Linked DNA regions of Elephas maximus indicus. The protein of the gene in region 2 interacts with the protein of the main gene of each other region in a pairwise test. Links are inferred from orthologs where the notes say so. Each region holds a gene or a part of one and is shown on either strand. Other genes may lie near its edges.

What was found. The genes of interacting proteins can lie anywhere in the genome.
Region 1: the proteins of BNIPL (region 2) and GFER interact in a two-hybrid assay, tested with the Homo sapiens proteins (2 studies listed by BioGRID and IntAct). The link is inferred for Elephas maximus indicus from reciprocal best matches to the Homo sapiens genes BNIPL and GFER.

Annotation. Positions count from the first base shown.
Region 1 is NC_064830.1:59,084,307-59,094,470, reverse strand, and holds GFER (FAD-linked sulfhydryl oxidase ALR), read right to left. Parts: upstream 4,699-10,164; 5' UTR 4,598-4,698; coding exon 4,337-4,597; intron 3,956-4,336; coding exon 3,759-3,955; intron 2,449-3,758; coding exon 2,286-2,448; 3' UTR 130-2,285; downstream 1-129. Other genes in the region: TBL3 (transducin beta-like protein 3), read right to left, coding at 9,742-9,851, 9,930-10,088, 10,164-10,164.
Region 2 is NC_064821.1:185,096,392-185,107,062, reverse strand, and holds the start of BNIPL (bcl-2/adenovirus E1B 19 kDa-interacting protein 2-like protein), read right to left. Parts: upstream 5,296-10,671; 5' UTR 5,182-5,295; intron 5,017-5,181; 5' UTR 4,952-5,016; intron 4,735-4,951; 5' UTR 4,694-4,734; coding exon 4,507-4,693; intron 2,816-4,506; coding exon 2,633-2,815; intron 2,440-2,632; coding exon 2,337-2,439; intron 2,166-2,336; coding exon 2,034-2,165; intron 1,115-2,033; coding exon 1,028-1,114; intron 840-1,027; coding exon 741-839; intron 339-740; coding exon 287-338; 3' UTR 1-286. Other genes in the region: exopolyphosphatase PRUNE1, read right to left, coding at 8,353-8,781. UniProt on the Homo sapiens protein: May be a bridge molecule between BCL2 and ARHGAP1/CDC42 in promoting cell death.

The sequences.
Region 1 (10,164 bases), on a different chromosome or scaffold from region 2:
GAAGACTCATTAACAACCTACGTTATGCAGATGACACAACCTTGCTTGCTGAAAGTGAAGAGAACTTGAAGCGCCTACTAATGAAGATTAAAGACCACAGCTTTCAGTATGGATTGCACCTCAATGTAAAAAAAAAAAAAAAAAAATCCTCATAACTGGACCAATGAGCAACATCATGATAAACAGAGAAAAGATTGAAGTTGTCAAGGGTTTCATTTAACTTGGATCCACAATCAACAGCCATAGAAGCAGCAGTCAACAAATCAAAAGACGCGTTGCACTGGGTAAATCTGCTGCAAAAGCCCTCTCTAAAGTCTTGAAGAGCAAAGATGTCACCTTGAGGACTAAGGTGCGCCTGGCCTGAGCCATGGTATTTTCAATCGCATCATATGCATGTGAAAGCTGGACAATGAATGAGAAAGACCGAAGAAGAATTGACTCCTTTGAATTGTGGTGTTGGTGAAGAATATTTAATACAGCATGGACTGCCAAAAGAACGAACAAATCTGTCTTAGAAGAAGTACAACCAGAATGCTCCTTAGAAGCAAGGATGGCGAGACTGTGTCTTACATACTTTGGACATATTGTCAGGAGGGATTGGTCCCTGGAGAAGGACATCATGCTTGGCAGAGTACAGAGTCAGCGGAAAAGAGGAAGACCGTCAACGAGGTGGATTGACACAGTGGCTGCAACAATAAGCTCAAGCATAACAACAATTATAAGGATGGCTCAGGACCAGGTAGTGTTTCGTTCTGTTGTGCCTAAGGTCACTATGAGTCAGAACTGACTCGATGGCACCTAACAACCACCACAACAATTTTGCCTCATTAACTACAGGCAGAGATTAGAATTTACAACTCAAAGGAAAATTACATCAATCATAAAATGAAAAACCACCACACAATACTGGGAATCATGGCCTAAACACATATTTTTGGGGTGCACAATTCCATGTATGGCACCCTCCCTTCCAGGGGCCTGAGCAGCTCCCCTCAGCTCCCTCCACACAAGGCCTGATGGAGATGGGCCCTTGCCCAGTGGGCGGCCAAGACACTTTGGGGTGGAAGTGGCCAGGACTTTATGACCACAGAACAGGGGGCACAGGTTGTTGCTGGGAGCTGAGACCTGAGAGTGGGTGGGGTGGGGCTGAGCAGATCTTGGCAGGCCCAGAGCAGGGTCTCGGTCACCCCCCAAGCCTGCTCCACCCCACAGATGTTGCTTTGATCCAAGCCCCTGGAGTCCCCTTTAGCTCCTTTCTCACCCCTGAATTCTCGTGGCTCTACCTTCGAAAATATCCAGCACTGGGCCATTTCTGACAGGTACCACTCTAGCCCCAGGGCAGCCTCCCTTTCAGCTCTCCTCTAACCTCCTAGCTTACACCCTCTTGTCTGCTTCAGTGAAGTAGCCAGGTGCTTTCAAAAGTCAGGTCCCACCACTCCTCTTTGCCAAGCCCTCCAAGAGCTTCCTGTCAGGCTGGGAGTAAACCAAGACCCTGCTGGAATGGAAAGGCCTCTCCTGTCACCTGTTCTCCCCGCCCATCCCCACTCCAACTACGCAGCCTCCTTGCCGTTCCTGGAGTGTGCCAGGCCCACTCAGGCCTCAGGACTCCCCCTCCTCACAGGCAGCCAGCACTCTGACGGGAGGCAGCCGCTGAACACAGAGGGAAGAGGGCAGGCCCCGAACCCTGCAAACAACACAGGCAGCCCGGTCCTCAGTCAGTTCCACAACATTTTATTTTGGTCTCAACCTCAGAGGCAGCCGGCCCCTGCTGGCAATCCTGGCCAGCCACGGACAATGCTGTGTGTAGGTCTCCAGAAATATCCTGCTGAGCTCTCCCTGCAGGAAGCTGAGCAGGGTGGAGAGCTATCCCAGGCCACCTCCCTGAAGCACACAGGACATAAATGCTTTGGCCAGAACATTGTAGAGTCACTGGCTACACGGTTACGAGGCAGCAGGCTGGCCTTGTGGGGTGGACGCGTGGAAGCCCAGCCAGGCCTGTCTCCTGGCTGCCCCTTCCATTTCTGGGCAGAAGGCCACATCCCATCTGGCACAGGGGCAGCCCAGGCCACTCCTGCCTCACTCACCTGCAGCTCCCACCCCTGCGGGCCCTCAGCTGAGGGAAGGCCATGGGGGTGTCTGCCGCGGGCACCTCCCGACCTGAGAGGGCAGGCCCCGTGGGTAGCGTCCCGGGGCCACCCAACTGAGATGGGACAGGCTCTGGCTCTGATGCACTTTAATGAACGCTCCACCCACTGCAGTGGCCAGCTGGCTCCTACACCCGCCCACTAGTCACAGGAGCCGTCCTTCCAGCCATCGCGCCAGCGCTCATCCACCTGTGAGCAGTCGAAGTCTGGCTTGCCCAGCTTGTGGTTCACCTCGTTGTGCAGGTGGCACAGCCACTGGGTGAAGTGTGCCCGAGTGCGCGTGTCCGGCTGGTTCTGGCATATCCTAAGAGCAGAGCACAGAGATGATGGAGGGGGCAGCTGGCCCTACCCCTGCCCCCAGCCAGCACCTAGTCTGCTCCTGAGGGAAGAAGGCTGCTGAGAACTACACCAAGAAGAAACCCCTAAGGAAGGGACAGCAAATTCCCAGGAGAAGGCTGACCCTGCAGAGCCCTGGGCCTTGGTGGGCTCCCAGTCTGCTCAAAAACTTGCCCAGGGTCCAATAGTGTATGATACCACTTATACGAACCATCTAGAACAAACGCATTCAGAAACAGAAAGCAGATTAAAAGTTACTGGTGGCGTAGTGGTTAAGAGCTACATCTGCTATCTAAAACGTCAGCAGTTTGGGTCCAGCAAACACTCCGTGGAAACCCTATAGGTCAGTTCTACTGTCCTATAGGGTTGATATGAGTCAGAATTGACTGGACAGCGATAGGTTTGGTTTTTTGGGTTAGATGCTGGACGGAGGAAAATAGGAAATCACTGCTGAAAGGGTGCAGACTTTCGTTTGGGGGATGAAAACTTGGAAATGGACAGCTGTGATGGTCATAGAACATGGCAAATTGTACACTTACAAAATAATTAAAACGACAAATTTCATGTTATACCTATTTAACCACAATAAAACTAGAAAAAACACCGCTACCAAAAACCCCACCCATGGCCCTTAGCAAACCTAATGCAAGCCCCAGGCAAGACATTAAAGAGCATAGCAGGCAACATTACAATCTCCTAAGAACCTGGAAGCCTCACCCCAGCCTCCCTGGCCTCATGAGCCAGACACAGCAGGTATAATTGAAAACCAGGCAGTTCTTGGCACCCGAGGCCCTGCTGCCTCACCTCAGCAAGAGACTTTGCTCTGTTGCGCAGGCTTCAGACAGCCAGGGCTGTCCCACCCCACACGTGGAAGCTCTGAGAAGGCCCTGCCAGAGGTGTGGGAGAGGACACCTGGGTGGGCCACACACCAAAGCCTAGGAGCAAAAGCAGTGGGTTCCCAAGGTCTGAAAGCCAGCAGCCCTGCTCCAGAAGTCAGGCAGAGTGCAGTCGTCATTGTGGTTAAGTGAGAGACTGCATTGAGAAGGCTCTCCTGAGAGCCTTGTGGTACAACAGGAAGTATCTTCCAGCAGACCCAGGCAGTTTGGCCTCTGAGGGGGAAAAGAGATGGCCCAAGAACCTAATCCCCACTCTGCTGAGCTCCCAGCTCCTTCGCCACCCTCTGCTGCTCCTCCACGTATTTCTAGGTTCTCCCCTATGACATCACCTCCAACTCAGGCCTCTCGGTTCAATGCTCTCACCTGTGCACACACAACTCACCTCTTCCTTATGTCTTCGGCACACTCCTCGCACGGGTAAAACTTGGAAAATAAGTGTATGAACTGGGCCATGTCTTGCTGCTGTTCCGGAGTGGGCAGGTCGGGGTAGTAGGCAGCCAGGGTGTGGAGGACAGCCCAGCTGTGGCGGCCCAGTTCCTCCCGATCTTGAGGGCAATCCTCCCTAAACTTGCTCTCCTGCTGCAGAAAAAAGTAGACCAAGGGTCAGTTCAATCTCCTCAATCAAAAGAGCGCAAACCTCACCTTTTCCTGCCCCACTCGGAGGCCCACTCTCTCCAGACAGCAGTTCAGCAGCCGATTCAGCCCATGAGAGGCTGAGACAGACAAGGCCAGGCCTACCTTGAGGGGGTCAAAGTTAGGCATAGCGGATAGGCAAAAGTCAGGAATGAGGCCTATCGGACCGCTCGGCCTCGGCCTATTGGGGCGTCTCCCAGGGGCACCTGAGAATAAGGTGAGGGGGCTCAGGAGGCAGGGGACGAGGGGGGTGTGCGGGTGGGGGCTGGAGGGTCGGACGGGGCTCACAGGCCTCGGCCGGGAGGTGGCGCCCCTGGGCACGTGCACCTTTCGCTGCGTCCGCATCCAAGTCTTGAAATCCACGCAGGCCCGGCAGGGCCGCCTCCGGGAGGCGTCCTCCTGCGGCTCGGGGATCTGCGCTAGAGCTGGCGTCGGGGCGGGGGCGGCGGCATCTCTGCGCCCCGCGCCCCGGCCCCGGCCCCGCGCGTCGGTCGCCAGGTCGTCCACCACCTCGGAGCGCGCGCCGCCGGGCAGGAAAGAGAAAAGTCCCCCGCAGCCGAACCGCCCCCGCTCACCGGGCGCCGCCATCTTGCTCGCGCAAGGGCTGCCGGGCCAGCTCGGCCTCCAGAGCGGCCTCCAGGTTGGCCTCCAGGTCAGCGCGCCGCCGCATGAGCCTGGGACGCGCGCTGCGGGCGTGGCGGCTGGGTTTGGGCTGGGGCTGGGGCTGGGGCTGGGGCTGGGGGCGGGGCTGGAGGCCGCCTCCCGGACGGGGGTCCGGGCCCCTGCGGCGGCGGCGGGGCGGGAGGCCAGCACCCTGCCCGCGACCCTCGGCCTGCGTCCGCGTCCCGGGCCCGGCTTCCGTTGCGCGGAGCGGCGCTCCCGCTTCCTCCAGTAAAAGACCAGTGTGGTGTGGAAGCTGCGGCGCGGCGCGCTGGGCTCGGGCTGAGGCGCAGGCGAAGTCCAGGTGGAGGCCCGCGAAGACCCCATCGCTGCACTCGGACTGTCCCGGGTGCCCATAGCCGGGCTCTGTGCCTTTCCTGAGACTGGTGGTGCGCCCACCGGCGCAATACCCCGGCACCTGGCAACGGGCGCTTGGCAACGCGGGGCGGGGCCCTAACGGCCAAAAAGGTAGTGCGCGTCTCGGCTGCTGCGCGCACCCATCTGCTCCAGAGGGCAGTGCCTCCTCGGACCCTACAGCTTGGATAAGGGGTTAAACCCTCCCGAGGAACGGACTCAAGCCTACTTCAGCTTCCTTATGGTCATTCATTCATTCTGCACATATTGGTGCCGGTCTTCTTTGTTCCAAGGACTGTTCCAGGTGCTGGACAGAACAGGAACAAGGCTCCACCCTTGAAGGCCTCAGCTCATAGTCCAATGGTCAAGACAGAAACAACCAACACAGAAGCACACAAATAAATATTCACTTACAAACAGTGGGTAGGGGCATGTACCAAACCCAGTGCTGTCGAGTCAGTACAGGGCATGGTAAATTCAGGAAGCCACTGAGGAGGTGACCCTTCAGTAGAGACCTGAAGGGTGATGAATAATGCCTGAGGAGGGCAGTCAAGGCCCAGGGCCCGAGGTAGCAGGATGCTGGTGATGGTGACCAGAAGGGAGGTCCAGGAGTGGGCAGGGGCTGTCACACAGGACCTTGGCCTCTGTGGGACTGGGAATTTAAGGGTGTTGGGAAGGTGCTGGATGGTTCTGGGAAGAACCAGTGGACATAATCTGTTTTCTGTTTGCAAAGGTCATATGGGGAGAGGGTTTTATGGGACAGCATTGGCAGTGAGGAGCTGTGGTGGGTAGTGGTTGTGGAGAGGAAGGGAGTGGGGAGGATCCAGGGTTGATGGGGTTGGGCATTGTGATCAGGAGGGGCCATAGCATTCCCCTAGATTGCTGGCTACGAGTGAGCCCTCACCTTTCCCTGGCTTCTCTCTTCTCTCTTCCAGAGAAGCAGGCTCTGGACCCTCAGCATGGTCTCCTGAGGATGGATGGAGGGTGATAGCTGAGTTGAAATCAAGCTTTGATTCAGACCTGTGTCAGCAGGTGCTCATCACCTGGGTGGAGACCAGGGCAGGTGTGAGGGCTCCGGGGGGGGGGGGTCCTCTGGCCAGACAGACACACATACACACAAAGGCCTTTTGATGAAAAAAGAAAATGATGAGGCCAGGGCAAATTCCTGGAGAAATGTCTAGGGAACAGAGACTCCTGAGAAAGCTGGGTCCCCAGTTCCAGGAAGAATCACTGCTCTTCCTGTGGGTTGGATGGGGCTCCGGAAGTCTCCTCTATAAGAAGGTGGGGCACTTCCCCTATAAGTGGTGGGCACCCAGGCAAGCCTCTGCCCAGGGCTTCCACAGCCTCCCCGCCCCACTGCCCAGGCTGGTGGGGGAATGCTCACTTCTGCCCTCAAAGGCTAAGGGTGGGATTTTCCTTTGCAGTAAATTGTGACAAACTATGAATTTAGAGGCTGCTCCTTGAACAAGCCTGGCTGCCTGCCACCTCCCCCTTTTCCTTCTGGCCCAAGTCTCTTTACCATGTGGTAAACTTAGGGTGAGCCTGTGGGGGTCCACCCCCCATGTGCACATGTACAGAAAAACTCACATTAATTATCAGTTTAACATGAATTTCCTCATCTGTGGCTTGGGGGCATTAAGAGAACTGTTCTCTTAGCATTAAAAGAGACAAAGGACTCTAAAGCCCCTAGCACTGGGTAGGGATATTCCCGATGCAACTGCAGACAGCTCCACAGGCACGTACAAAGACAGAGCCTAGGGGTCCACCTACAGGAAGCCCTCCTGGCCCCAGCCCTGCACTAGAGGAGAGAAAGCTTGGGCCAGGCAGCACTTTGATGTGGGGACTGCCAGCCCTTCCCTCTCCTTCCACTGCCAGACTGGGACAGAAGGGCCTCACCCACAGTTCCAGTCCCTCCACCGCCCCTTCCTCAGGACACAAAGTCGTGCATACCTCCAGGGCCTCTGCCTTGGGCCTCCCAGCCCTGTGCTCCTGCCCCCCATATCTTAGAGTTAGGGGGCAGTGGGGGGAGCCTGCGAGGGACCCACAGCTGAACACCTCCCCAAGTGACAAGCCTGGCCAACTTCGGGCCTTGTCAGGGAATTTTGGCCAGCCCTGCCTGTTCCTGGGAGCCCCCAGCCGGCAGGGAGGAGGCAGGGACCACTGAGCCTCAGCCACTCAGCCATGGCAGGCCCCCGATACGTGGTGTGTGTGCGCGTCTACGCCCTGGTGCAGACCAGGAGACTCCAGGTACTCCATGGGGTCACTGGCAGCCCCAAAGGGGAAGGTGTAGTCCCTGGCCCCGCCCCTGCGAGGATCCCCAACTTTTTTTCCCTCAGAAGTTCTCCGTGCGCTGGTAGGACAGGCGGTGACACTTTCGTGCTCAGGCGTCGCGAAGAGTTCAGAAAGCTCCACGTGAGTGACCCTGGGGCGACCCCCGAGTCCCCGAACTGCCTCCAATGCATGACTCCCGAGTGACCCCCGCCTACGGGCTCTCCTGTGCCCCGCAGCTTCCAACCCCTACAGTCCCGACTCGGCCCCACCGTCGCGGAGGACCCCTGAGCTCTCGGAGACCTATCCGCCGGCTTTTTGCCGCGGAAGACCCTTCAAGAGGCCTTCCAGATGGAGGCGGGCCTGCTGCGCAGATCCAACCTCATTCTCCCCGCGCTTCCTGGTCAGGCCGGGGGGGTTGGGACATGGGTGAGGGACCCCGAGACGGGGTCCCACATTCAACTCCTGTCTTGCTCCCACACGTGCCGCTGTTGGCGCGCGGGGGACGCACGGGCCGCGGGCTGGCTTGCCTCCGGCTCCTAGAGGCTTATGTCCAGATGCTGCTGATGGCGGTAGAAAGCGTGTCCCGGCGCCTGGCGCTCAACAGCTTCTTCGCGCCGCAAATCCTGGACCTGTAGCCCACGCTGCCACCCGGCAGGTGCCTGACCTACCCCAACTCCCAGCCACAGAGGCATTTGGAGGATGGGGAAGCACAGGGTGTATGGGTAGGAGGGGTCACGCAAAGACTGGGAGATTGGGCAGATTTGTGAGAGGTGGGGATGGTGGGTCCATTCCCACCTATCACCTGCAATCCTCCTCAGCCTGGTGATTCCGACCGCCCGGAAGGAGCCTCTGCCGGACCCTGTGGGCAGGCTTGACATCCGCAGCCTGGAGGACCAGAGACTGCACTGCCTACTGCACCCAGGACACACGGGGCCAACCCTTCCATGTGCAGGCCCGGGAGGCCCTGGATGTGCTACTGCGACAACCCTCGGGTAGGGCTGGGGAGGAGTCTGGGCTGCCCTCTGCCCCTGATCCCAGCGGGCCTCGGGATCTGAAACCCCGCCGCACTGGCGCACAGGCTGGTGCCTGGTGGAGAACAAGGACAAACAGATGGCCTGGTTTCCCTCTCCCTACCTGGAGGAGGTGGCCCCAGGCCAGGTGCGGGAGGGGGACACCGCCGCGCGGGAGCAGCAGTACGGGCCCTCCAATGCCTGCCAGCACAGTTTGAGCAGAGGAAGAAAGTACCCCAGCCGAGGAAGGAGGCCGTGGGTTTGGGCGGGTGTAAAAGTGGGTGGCAGGGTCCTCATAGCAAGGAGGCCCTAGTGGGCTTGAGCAGTCTCTGACATTAGCAGAGATCCAAACAGAACTGGGAGGTGGTGACTCAGCAGGAGATGACGAGGACCCGATGAGCGCCTCCCCCCATACCCACAGGCAGGGCTGCAGTTCTGTGCTTCCCGCGCCTACAAGAGCGGCGGAGCTAATGAGCTCTGTGCCCGCTGGGGCGCAAGTGCGCGTGCTGGAGAGGTCAGATTGCGCCTGGTGCCTGAGCAAGTGCGCGGGCGTAGTTCAGGCGCGGCCAAGCCAGGCGGGGGCGGGGCCGAGCTCTAATCTAACTCCGCCCCTCCTCGCAAGTATGTCGGCCGTGCGGGCCTTCTGTCTGCGGTGCTGCTGCGGCCTGACGCGCTGGGCGCGCTTCTGGGCAGGGCTGCCGGCTGGAAACAGTGCGGGGCAGGCCCTGGAGCACTTCCCGGCCACAACCCCGCCCGGCCCCAGCCGACTGCCATTCAGAGCTGCTGAAGCATCATCATCACCCACAGGGCACTGGGTAAGGACCCAGACCCGCTTGAAGGTGTGCGGAACTGAGTAGGGAGGGTTGACACTGCACTCCGGCCGGGAGGGCGGAGCCCTAGACCATGCTGGAAGGGCCCTGGCTCCAGAACTGCCTGGGATAGGGTCCTACCTAGCTCAGAGAATGCCCCTCTAGGTTTCCTTCAACTGGAGGCTCCGACCCTAGGGGCCTACTAATGCAGCAGCACCATCTGGTGCTGGAGAAGTGAGATGAGACCAACCTCTTTTGTGGCCACAGCTTCCTGTTTCCTCTGAGTAAAGCTGTTCTGAATAAACCCAGTCTGATCGCACTGAGTGGAAATGCTGGTGGCATAGTGGTTTAGTGCTACGGCTGCTAACCAAGAGGTTGGCAGTTCAAATCTGCCAGGTGCTCCCTGGAAACTCTATGGGGCAGTTCTACTCTGTCCTATAGGGTTGCTATGAGTCGTAATCGACTCAATGGCAGTGGGTTTGGTTTTTTGGTTTGGTCGCACTGAGGGGTGGGCTGGTGGGACCTCAGTCAGGGTGCAGAGAAGGGACTGTGGCCAGGGACCTGGGATGACAGTGCTGCTCAGAAAGACACCAGAGGCAGGATAGAAAAGTACACCTTTATGCATGTCTCAGAGGGCTGGGGGGGCAGCTGGGAGCGGGGACAGCTTCATGTTGTGCCACAGGAAGTCCAGGAAGGTGGCTGCTTGCAGCGTCCGGCTGAGCCGCTGGAAGTGCCGTTCTGGGGGAGGACAGAGGTGGGTCAGGAGGTCCCTGGGGCCCAGTGCCTGCCCCACCCACCCCAGGCCGTGCTATGCACCGGTGTAGGGCAGCAGGGCTTCCAGCGCAGCCTGCAAGCCCTCATAGGCCAGCAGCTCCTCGGGGGCCTCATGCTGTAGGAGCACACCCAGCACAGCCTGGGCCTCGTGGCAGTGCCGAGAGTTGGTGTTCCAGGTGATGCAGAAACGTAGCAGGGCTTCTGTGGGCAACAGGAATGGTCAGCCCCACCCACCAGACCACTCCCACACTGACCAGCTCTTGCCTGCAGACCAACC
Region 2 (10,671 bases):
AAATTTTTTTTTTTTTCTAAAGCAGGACCAAAATCCAGAGCTCCACTTTCCCAAAATGCCTTTGTCACTACACTCACTATGCTACAGCCAGCTGACACGAAAGTCACCCAAGCAGGTGAGGTTCCAGACCTCAAAGCCCTGCCATAAGTAGGGTCACGGAAGGTATGACACCCCACGAAGATGTGAAGATCTGGTGGCACTGATATTGAGGGTGAGATGATTTACAAAACAGCTCAGATGTTTCAGGGGTGGGCAGATCAATATTTCTGCCTGGTTCTAAGGCCCTTTATCCAGTCCTGTGCAAGGTCCCTCTTGAGCCATGCAGATCTTGGTCCAGCCTAAGAGAGAGAGAGAAAGTACTGGGGCAGAATGGCCTGGGTCTTACTCACTGGTGAGTTGGAAGAGCTTAGAAGACTGGAGGCTTGAGTCATCACTTAGGATCTTTTGCTCCCTAACACGCCTCCTCCACCAAATACACTTTCCTATTCACCGCCAACATATCCCTTCCAGGACTGGCCTGAATCTCCTCTAACTCCTGTGTTATGATCGCGCCTTTATTCCTTGATGCCTCAGCACTTAGGTGTATAGTTTTTTAATTTGTTCTTTTTAGATGCAGTAGTCTTTAATGTCTTCTCTGTGTGTGTGCAGTCTTCTTTTGTATCTCCCCTAAAGCATTTAGAAAGTGAGGACTGGCTTTATACATCCCACCCCAAACCTTCATCCTTAAGCTCAGGACTCACTGTCTGACAACTTCGGGGATGTGGACCTGATCCAGAGAGATGAGTTGAGCCAGCTCCCCCAGGCTGTCCAGAAACCGTATCTTTCGTGTGAATTTGGAACTGAAAAAGAGGATAAATCAAGTGTGTTCTGTACTGGGAAGAGGGCTCCCGGAGACCCTTGCAAACAGAAATGTAGCAAGCAGAGAGTGGTTAAGACTAGAAAGGGTCAGGGTGAGGCAAAGTCTTCCTCATCTTGACTTTTAAATTGGAAAAAGGGGGAAGGGAGTCCTTGTCCTGAGAGCTAGTACCTGATGAAAGGCCGAAGCAGCGCCAGAAATGCCTTCATGTACCACGTAGCATGGACAACCACTAGGGCTTGCAGATTTTTCCGGAGCCTGAAGAAGAATATGAGATTTCCCTATTTCTTCCTCCACCTCTTGCAATCATCTGTACTTTAACTTCCCTTACTTATTTCTAGATTTCTCTGGCAGCTTTGTCTAATCCCCATTCCTTTAGGTATAATCTCAGCCATCCAGTGCTCCTCATTCTTAAAAAACGTTTCTTTCAGGATCCCTCAGCCTCATCTTCTGTACCCCACTTATCTTCTTGCTCTTCCCTCACACAATTTCCTTATTCCCTCCCTCATTCTTATGCCTTTTTTTTTTAACTTTCTTTTTCACGCTTCCCCATTCCTCCATGATCAGGACTTTTTACAAACTCCAGATGGAAGAAGACCATCTGGAAAAAAGAGTATGAAGAAAGAGAAAAGTGAGCAAAAGGAAGATGGGAAAACAAAGAAAAAAAAGGAATGCTAAAGAAAAAAATATATGGGTTGGGGATAAAGACGGAAAAGAAAAGAAGACAATGGAGATGTGGAAAGTGAAATAAATGGCAAGATCGGGAGAAAAGGAAGACTGCTTTCTGTGTGCAGGCAATACACTACAGTGATTCACTTGATTGCCTCAAATACCCAGTGGCAAAAGTACTATCATTTCCATTTTGTTGTTGTGTGCGGTCGAGTGGATTCTGAGTCATGGTGACCCTATAGGACAGAGTCCAACTGTCCCACTTTACAGATAAGGAAACTGTACCAGAAAAGTTAAGTGACTTGTTCAAGGTCACATAGTTAGTGGTAAAGGCAGGATTTGAAACCAGATTTCCCTGACTCTGAGAGAGGACAAAAGACAGGAGAGGGTTAGAAAAGGGTTTAGAAGACATAGAAACAAAGGAAGGGACTAGACAGAAGAAGAAAGAATGGAACAATGGAAAAGAAAGAAGATTGAGAGTTGAGGCCCTCTCGTCCTAGGGTCTCACCGTCGATCCAGGGTTCGGTAACACTGGCGTATCCAGCTCAGAGGTGGAACTTGGGCCCTACTTGTGCCTCCACTCAAGTGAACAAGTAGATAATTTTCAGCTACTAGCACCTCCAGAGTTCCCACTATATACCTGGATGGGATGAAATTGCCAGGGAAAGCGTGTGTTTGGGATTGTGGGGAGTGAAAGGGACTGATTATTGTAAACTCTGTAATTGGCTCAACTGATCTTGGAAGGCGATCATTTTTTTTGCTTTTCCCTCCCTAATACCCTCCCTGTATCTCTTCAGGCCTTTTGCCTCACCTAAACAAGTGTTCCATGACATAGGTGTAGTTGGGGATGCTGCTTCTGGGCAGGTAACAGGAAGCAAAGAGGATGACAGCATTGAGACCATCACCATGGTAACCTGGGGAGGACAAGAGAAAAATTCATTCAGCCAACAAATACGTATTGATAGACAGTACACTTGTATAAGTCGAGGGTCTCAGGGTCCCTGGAAGTTACAAGGAAGGATTTTGAACTCAATAACTCAGTCTCTAGCCTAGGCATTTTATTCAAGAAGCCACAGTTCCTACCCCTTCCTTTATGCCAGCTATTACCTCCATGAGATAGGACTTTCTTATAGGGTTCGATGACAGTCATGTCCACTCGCTGCTCCTGCTGTCCTGTTCGAAATACCTTCCAGTGACGACCATCTTCTCCAGCCACATCCCACACACAACCCCGACCCAGCCTTTCAGCTGCCTCACTGGGTCCTGGACCCTCTGCCCGGGGCAGTTCATCTAAAAGAGAGGGATGGAAGGATCAACAAGGCAGAATTCTCTCCTTCTGTATCCTGTATATTACCCAGGTTCCTACGGTTTATTACTCCAATCTCTCATTCCTCATTTTTTCCTTGACTCTTTAGCCCTAGTTTGTCCTATCAACCCAATACCTTGCTGGATTCTCTCAGCTGTGTCTCGTTATCCCCACTTTTTCACTAGCCTGTGGCCCTGGCATGACCTTGCACTACGGCAGGTCTACGACTCTTGATAGAATCAGATTTTTTTCTAGATTCTCTATTTCTTTTTTTACATGCTTTTCCCTGGGCAAGCTCATCTATTTCCATGTCTTCAGGTATCACCAGGAAGGTGATGGCTACCACTTTTGCCACTCTAACCCAGACTTCTCTCCTAACTCCAGATCTATATTCCCAAATGCCTAGAGTAGACATCTCTGTGTCTCCCTGTAATCTCCAATTCATCAGGTCCAAAACAGAACTCATACTCATTCTCTTCCTCCTCTCTCCTATAGTTCCTATCTTGGTGAATGACCTCATTGTCCATCCAGCTGCCTGAGAGAAAAAACTGTGTGTCATCTGAGACTTTTCCCTCTTTGTCAGCCCTGAAACCAACTGGACCCCAGATCCTCTTTCATCTACGTCCACAATATTCATCATCCTTTCCACTACTGGTTTGGATTCTTAGCACTTCTCACCTGGCCTTTGTACTAGCCTCCTAACTGATCTCCCTGCCTCTAGTTTCTTCTAACTCAAAGAGCAAGCTTTCTTCTCTCCCCTACTTTTTTTTTTCTATACCCACCATTCTGCATGATCTTTTCCATAACAATAGAAAGAACTTCTATATTAAAAAAAAAAAAAAGAGTTGCATAGTATTCCATTGTATGGATACACCATAACAGCATTAATACTCTACTGATGGGCCTTTAGATTGTTTCCAATCTTTTACAGAGCCATCATATTTGATTATGTTACTCCTTTGATGAAAAATTTCAATGACTTCCCATTGCCTACAGGACAAAATCTAAACCCCTGACCGTGGTAGCAAGGGCCTCCATGATTTGACCCTGTCTTCTTATTCCAGCATTATCTTTTGTCATTCTCTCTTCACCTCCCAACCTTTCACATCTAAATAGTCATGCTTAACACTTCGAATTCCCCAACATGCCATGTTATTGCTTGAGTTGCTTCTTCTGCCTAGAATGTCTTTTCTCCAACTACCTGGTAACTTCAGCTTTCAATACTTTACTTTCTCTGTGAAGCCACTCCTGATACCTCTCAGGCAGAACCGACCGTCTCCTTTTCCATGGCTGGACTGTATCCTATACACTTGTAGATCATAACCCTTAATTGCACTTATTTGTATATATGTTTATTCCCTACTAAACAGAAAATTCTCTGAGGGTAGGGACTATCTTACTCATCTTTATAACCCCAGTCCTAGCTCCGTGAGAGCATTTAATAGTCATTCAATCAAGTTTTTCTCAATAAACAAAGGACCTTCCCTCCCCTACTGACTACTTTCACACTCGATCTATAAGCTCTACCTTTCTATCCTGAGGAAATTGATTTTGCTGGCCTTATCTCTAAGTCCTCACCTTACTAGTTCTAATTTCAGTACCGTTAAATCTATCCTGGGCTTCTTTAACACTGGCCTCTACTTCTACCAGCTTAATCCTCAGGTTTGTTTCCCACCTTCCCATTCAAACTCATGTCCACTGTCCAGCTGCTCAGAGTCTGAAGGGGTCTCCAGTTCCTCTACGTCCAGGTCAGAACTGCCACCAGGAGAAGAAGGTGCAGAATGGGTGGAAGAAGCTCCACTACCTCCAGGCCCTTCATTCAGATCCAGTTGCAACTCTAGGGCAGAAAGACGCTTACGCATGGGGCGCCGGCCACATAGAGCTAAAGTGCTGGGGTACGTACCTGGGATTGGAGAAAAAAAAACAAAAGATATGTGAGAGTTAGGGGACCCAATTAGAATTCCTGTATATGGAAGTAAAATATGGGTAAACTCTGAAAAAGAAAGACCTGACACAGGGGACATTTGGGAAAGGAGAAAGAGAACTGCAAAGGGATAAGGGTGGCATAGCTCTGCACTGGACCAGAATTAGGAACTGAAGGCCATTTCAACTTTACCTACCTGCCTGTGAGTCTCCTTTTGGGTCTTCAGGATCTTCAGAAGGGCCAGCTTCCACAGAAAGCAATCTAGAGAGGAAGATATTAAAATGGGACAAAGATACAGGCTGAAGGCATCAAGCCAGATGTCAGTTTATCAATTCTCTCTCCTCGCTTTGACTTCATCTTTTCTTTTTCCTTCCAGGCCTAATTCGCCATCCCTCCCTTAGCCCAACCTCCCTCACACTTCCTCACCCGGGGAATTCTTCATCTTGCCAGTCCTCCTTCAGCTCCAGCTCCCCAAGTCTCAGGGCAGCTCCTAGTTCTGCTGCTTCTACATTCTCCCTGGTCCTAAGATAGTCCCCCGGAAGAAAGGATTATCATGAGACAACATAGACAGTGTCTTAATGGGGCTGGGTTGTAGGTAGGGGACATTGGAATGAAGAAAGTAATTGAGGTACAGACAGCAGACAGCAGGCCTTTAAAAAAAAACCCAGATCTTTTGTCTCCTAGACAGATATTTCTCCCATTTTCACCACTTGCTGAAAGCAGATTACTCCAACTATTAGGTTTAGAAGCAGAGGAAAAATAGAATGTGAAACTAATTATATTTACTTCCATGGCAGTTGCTTGCCTCCACCTACAAAGTCAGGGTGAGAGGTGTTCAACATTACAGTTGGCTGGAACCCAGACAGACCCGCCCAGCTGTCGCTGGGCAAAGCTGGGGAAGATGGCACCTTGTCAGGCCTGCCTTTCTTCTACCGTGCTGGGGAGTGGCTAGAGGAAACCATGGCATAGGTGGCGGGGCAGAGAAGGAAGGTAGGGAGGGAAAGATTAGCTGGAAGGAGAACCTGGACCTAAACTCAGTTCTGGGTCAGCTTTCCTGATGGCCATTCTGGAAGGTACGGATTGGAAAATGGAAAATATGGGCAGGTTTATCAGACAAAATTAGAAACTTCCCTTTTTCTAACCAGGGGATTGTTCTGCAATCCCGTCACCCAGTTACTATACCGTATTGACATTTCCTACCTACAGCCACCTCCATTCCTTCTTGGCAAATTAATTCCCTCATTGTCTCCTCTCCTCTAGGAACCCTAAGATTTGACTGGGTAAAAACTGGACGTAGGAAAGCCTCTTAGGCTATTTATTCATTTCCTGTTTCCAATAAGCAAGGCAATACTTACCCAAGATCTACTGCCTTTTCTCCTGCCTCTTGTATCGTTTCCATCTTCACAAGTCTTCTGTCTCCTTTAAACACTTGGGGTTGTCGGGGAGCTGGTTGTCCCAGCTCCCCAACACTTCCGTACCCTTTTTCTCTGTCTCCACTGCTGTTTCTGTTGCTTCACAGGATGAGGGAGGTGTAGAAGGGAGGTAAACGCATCTTCAAACAGGTTTTGCCACCTTCCCTCCCAAGGAGCTGGTTTGCCCAAGAGAAACCCTGCCTCCTGTGTGGGGGCGGGTTTTGGGGAGGAGAGAGCATTTCCTAGGATGGCTAGTCTTCGTAAGGCAATTTGTTCTCCTTCCCAGATCCCTATAGGGTCGCTGAGTCAGAATCAACTCGATGGCAATGGGTTTGGTGTTTTTTTTTTTTTTTTGGATAACCTTCTGGAAGCTGCTTTTTTAAAAAAAGGGGGGCAGTAAAAACCATTTTGGCTATAAGACTATCTTAGGCCTATTTTTCAGGCATAAGCCAAATTGGGGAGTGAGAAGTATAAGAAGAGTTCTGGAAGAAGAAACAAATTAAAGGCTGAGGATGAGGGGAGATGGAAGCCTGCTGCTCCTTATTCCCAAAAGGGGTTGTCAGGAGGAAGAGGGGGTATGAGTCTTTAGGAGGCTGAAAAATTATCAGAGGGAAAGGCCTCATTACAGTGGTAAAAACAGACAATAGGACCCCAAACAGGAAAAGAATATTTAATACTTTAACAAAATGCAAAATAAAGTACCCAAGTTACAAAACATAAATTCCTTTGGTTCAGTGATTACACCACTATTTTTACCTTCCAAATGACTACAGACATCATCCCTTCAAAGTGAACTCAGACTGTCCCCCTCACAGTAGAAGATGTCATGCCAAAACCATCCGATACACTAATGTTCAGTGAAGTTGTTGGCAACCTACATGGACTAGAGCTGTGGGGTAAGACAAGGAGGGATGACTTGGTCTAAAGAAAAAAGGGAGACTTTACGCATGCAGAACAAATCAGTGGGAGAGAGCTCTTTGTTGGGTCGCTATGGTGAGTCATAATTCTGAACATGCTACATGAGGCCAAGTCCCTTGGTATGATCACACATAAATACACACAACTCAGTGACCCTGGCCATTCCCAGAGAAGACAGAAGAAAAATACAGAGACGCAGAAGAAAGAAAAGATGGCAGCAAGAGGCAGATCACAGAATACCAGAGAACATCTAATCCAAACCTTTAATTTACAGATGGGCAAAGTCAGATCCGGAGACGTGAAGTGTCTTGCCAAAAGACACACAGTCATGGCAGTCAGTATTAGAATCCAGCTACTCCATGCTGTCTTTTAATATGAGCAAGAAGTGAAGAGAAAGAGATGGACAAGAAAGTGGTAGACCTGCTAAGGCAGGGAACAGAGCCAGGGCTCTCATTCCAGTTCTGTTGTCTTTTGGGAAGAATGCCTATGAGATCTAATGGCCTTCCTGGGTGCCTGCTGGACTCTCAAGAACCAGGGGTCTTCAGGGTTCCTGTGGCTCTGGAACAGAATAAGCTAAAGAACCTGAGAGTCAGGCCACCTGATTAGGATGGAAGATAATGGCCTCCAATCTGCTACCAAACAAGATCTAGAAGAGTCACAGCAAGGTCAGAAATGGAAATTCAGCCATCTCTGAATCAAACACCATTAACTAACTGAGGGCAGAAAGAAGAGTCATGGAATGGGAAATCTGCTAAAGGCTAAAAACTGGAGCAAGAGTCTCATTCTACTTTCTATCTAGATTCAAGTAGGTATTCAATAAATATTTGAATGAGTACACAAATAAATGAATAAAATGGAGATAATCAATGATTGTACGGTTCTATATGACATTAGTTCTGTTCAAGATCCTTGCTGAGGCCACACTGGGGGTACACATTCTTTTTGTCCCATTCTGTTGGCACTGTATGTGTATTGCATTGTGCCCCTGGGTAATGAAATAGAGAAAAGTCAGTGCAGATTTAAAGAATAAAATTAAATAATACCTAAATAATAACATCTGTTTGATTGGTAGAGATTGAGGGGAAGGTAGAAAGCCGTTTTTAAAGCAGCTGCTTTCTTTTACTTCTTCCTCCTCCCGGCTTTTATGAGAACAATACACCAGATCCTGGAGCAATGAAGACAGAGTTGCTGAAATCTCCAAACATCTCAAAACATGCATTTGAAGTGGGTTAAGAAACTTTCCCATTCTCCCCTCCCCTCCCAACAGTCAATTCTTTGATAGGGAGGCGGTGGTCGACCGTGACAGCGAGATCTGGCTGCATTTCTCAAAGATGGCCTCAGCTGAGAGCTTAGGCAGTCCCTGATCCAGAGGGCACTCATCCACCAAACTGTTCATGGGCGTTGGGGGCAATGGAGGGTCTTCCTCATCTTGACTCACTCCAGGAATCAGGGAGTTACCTGCCCTGTTCATTTCCTTGTCCACCTGCTCCCTGGACACACCCACTATTTCAGGTGGCCCAGCAGGGATCTGCATGGAGTCCAAATATGCTGACAGGGCTTCCTGGAGCAGAGGCAGGAGCTTCTTTCGGGAGACCTGGGTGTTGCCTTGAAGATAGGCTTGGAGGTTAGGATGGGTGCTTGGGATAGGAGTTAACTTCAGGGATGGAGCATCGGAGCGTTCCAGGACTCCGCAGATCTGAAAAAGAAACAAGAACAGGGGAGTGATACTTAAGGTTGAGTAGCAAAGAGCCAAGGCTTCTAAATTAGAGGCTTCCCTAACAGAAGAGAAAACCTTTTTTTGGTTAAGTCATCCAGAGTTCAGTTTTATTTCTCACAACAAAAGGAACCTCAGCTAATATACACAGTATTTTCGAAGCAGAAGAAACATTTGAGACCACATATTTCATTTTATAAACGAGGAACCCAAAGCTCAGAAATACTAAGAGTATTGTGCAAAATCACGCAGATAATAGCAGAGTCTGAACCAGAGCCCAGGTCCCCAGTTCCTAGCATAGAGTTGCTTCCAAGTATATTCTTGTACTCAAAAACCTGAACCCTAACTTTAGCTGGGAAAGAACTAGCATCTATCTTGTGGTCAGGGAAAGGGCAGAGGCAAAAAGAGTGAATAAACAAAGTGGGAGCAGGAGATACATAATATTGAGAAGTACCCAGGCATGGTGTCAAGTCTGGCTGCTTACAAGTATTATCTCATTTAACCCTCGTAACAACCTTCTAAGATTGGTATTACTACTACCCCTATTTACAGGTGGAGAAACTGAGGCTTAGAGAGGTTAAGTTACTTGCCTAAGATAATAGTTAGTATGAAACAAAGCTGAAGACTCGATCCCAGGTCTGTCACCGAAGCCTGTGTTCTGAATCACTATATATATATATATTTTTTTTTAATAATTTTTATTGTGCTTTAAGTGAAAGTTTACAAATCAAGTCAGTCTCTCACATATAAATTTATATACACCTTACTACATACTCCCACTTACTCTCCCCCTAATGTGTCAGCCCCATCCCTCCTTCTGGTCTTTCCTTTTGTGACCGTTTTGCCAGTTTCTAACCCTCTCTACCCTCCCATCTCCCCTCCAGACAGGAGATGCCAACATAGTCTCAAGTGTCCACCTGATGCAAGTAGCTCACTCCTCATCAGCATCTCTTTCCAACCCACTGTTCAGTCCAATCCATGTCTGATGAGTTGGCTTCAGGAATGGTTCCTGTCCTGGGCCAACAGAAGGTTTGAGGTTCATGACCTCCAGGATTCTTCTAGTCTTAGTCAGACCATTAAGTCTGGTCTTTAATAAGAATTTGGGGTCTGCATCCTACTGTTCTTCTGCTCCCTCAGGGGTTCTCTGTTGTGCTCCCTGTCAGGGCAGTCATCGTTTGTGGCCGGGCACCATCTAGTTCTTCTGGTCTCAGGCTGATGCAGTCTCTGGTTCATGTAGCCCTTTCTGTCTCTTGGGCTCATAATTACCTTGTGACCTTGGTGTTCTTCATTCTCCTTTGATCCAAGCTAAATCACTATATTATACTACCCCTAACATATCATGCTTGGCTGCTAACCAAAATGTTGGTGGTTCGTGTCCACCCAGAGGTGCCCTGGAAGAAAGGCCTGATGATCTACGTCTGAAAAAGCAGCCATTGAAAATCCCGTGGAGCACAGTTCTACTCTGACACACATGGGGTGCCATAAGTCAGAATCAACTTGATGGTAACTGTTTTTTTTTTTTTTAACTGGAAAATCAGAGGAAGAGCGGAGATGGCGAGGTAGACCATAAAAAAGGGCCTCATGTTTCCCAGCACAAAGGCAGCCTGGGCGGTGGCAGAGTTCTCAGGCAGCCACACAGCTTCAGAGGAGCAGCACAGAGGGATGAGATTCAGGAAGGCTGGGAGAAGCACTTCTTGTGTCAAAGCACCCCTTCCTTCATGATATTATTAGGAATAGCCACCATTTACCAGGTGCTTCCTTTGTGCCTAGCAATATACTTTACATATAGTATGTTTAATTAGCGCATCAGACCAATGAGGTAGGTACTGTTATGCAATTTATAGATGAGGAAATAGACTCAGAGGTTAACTG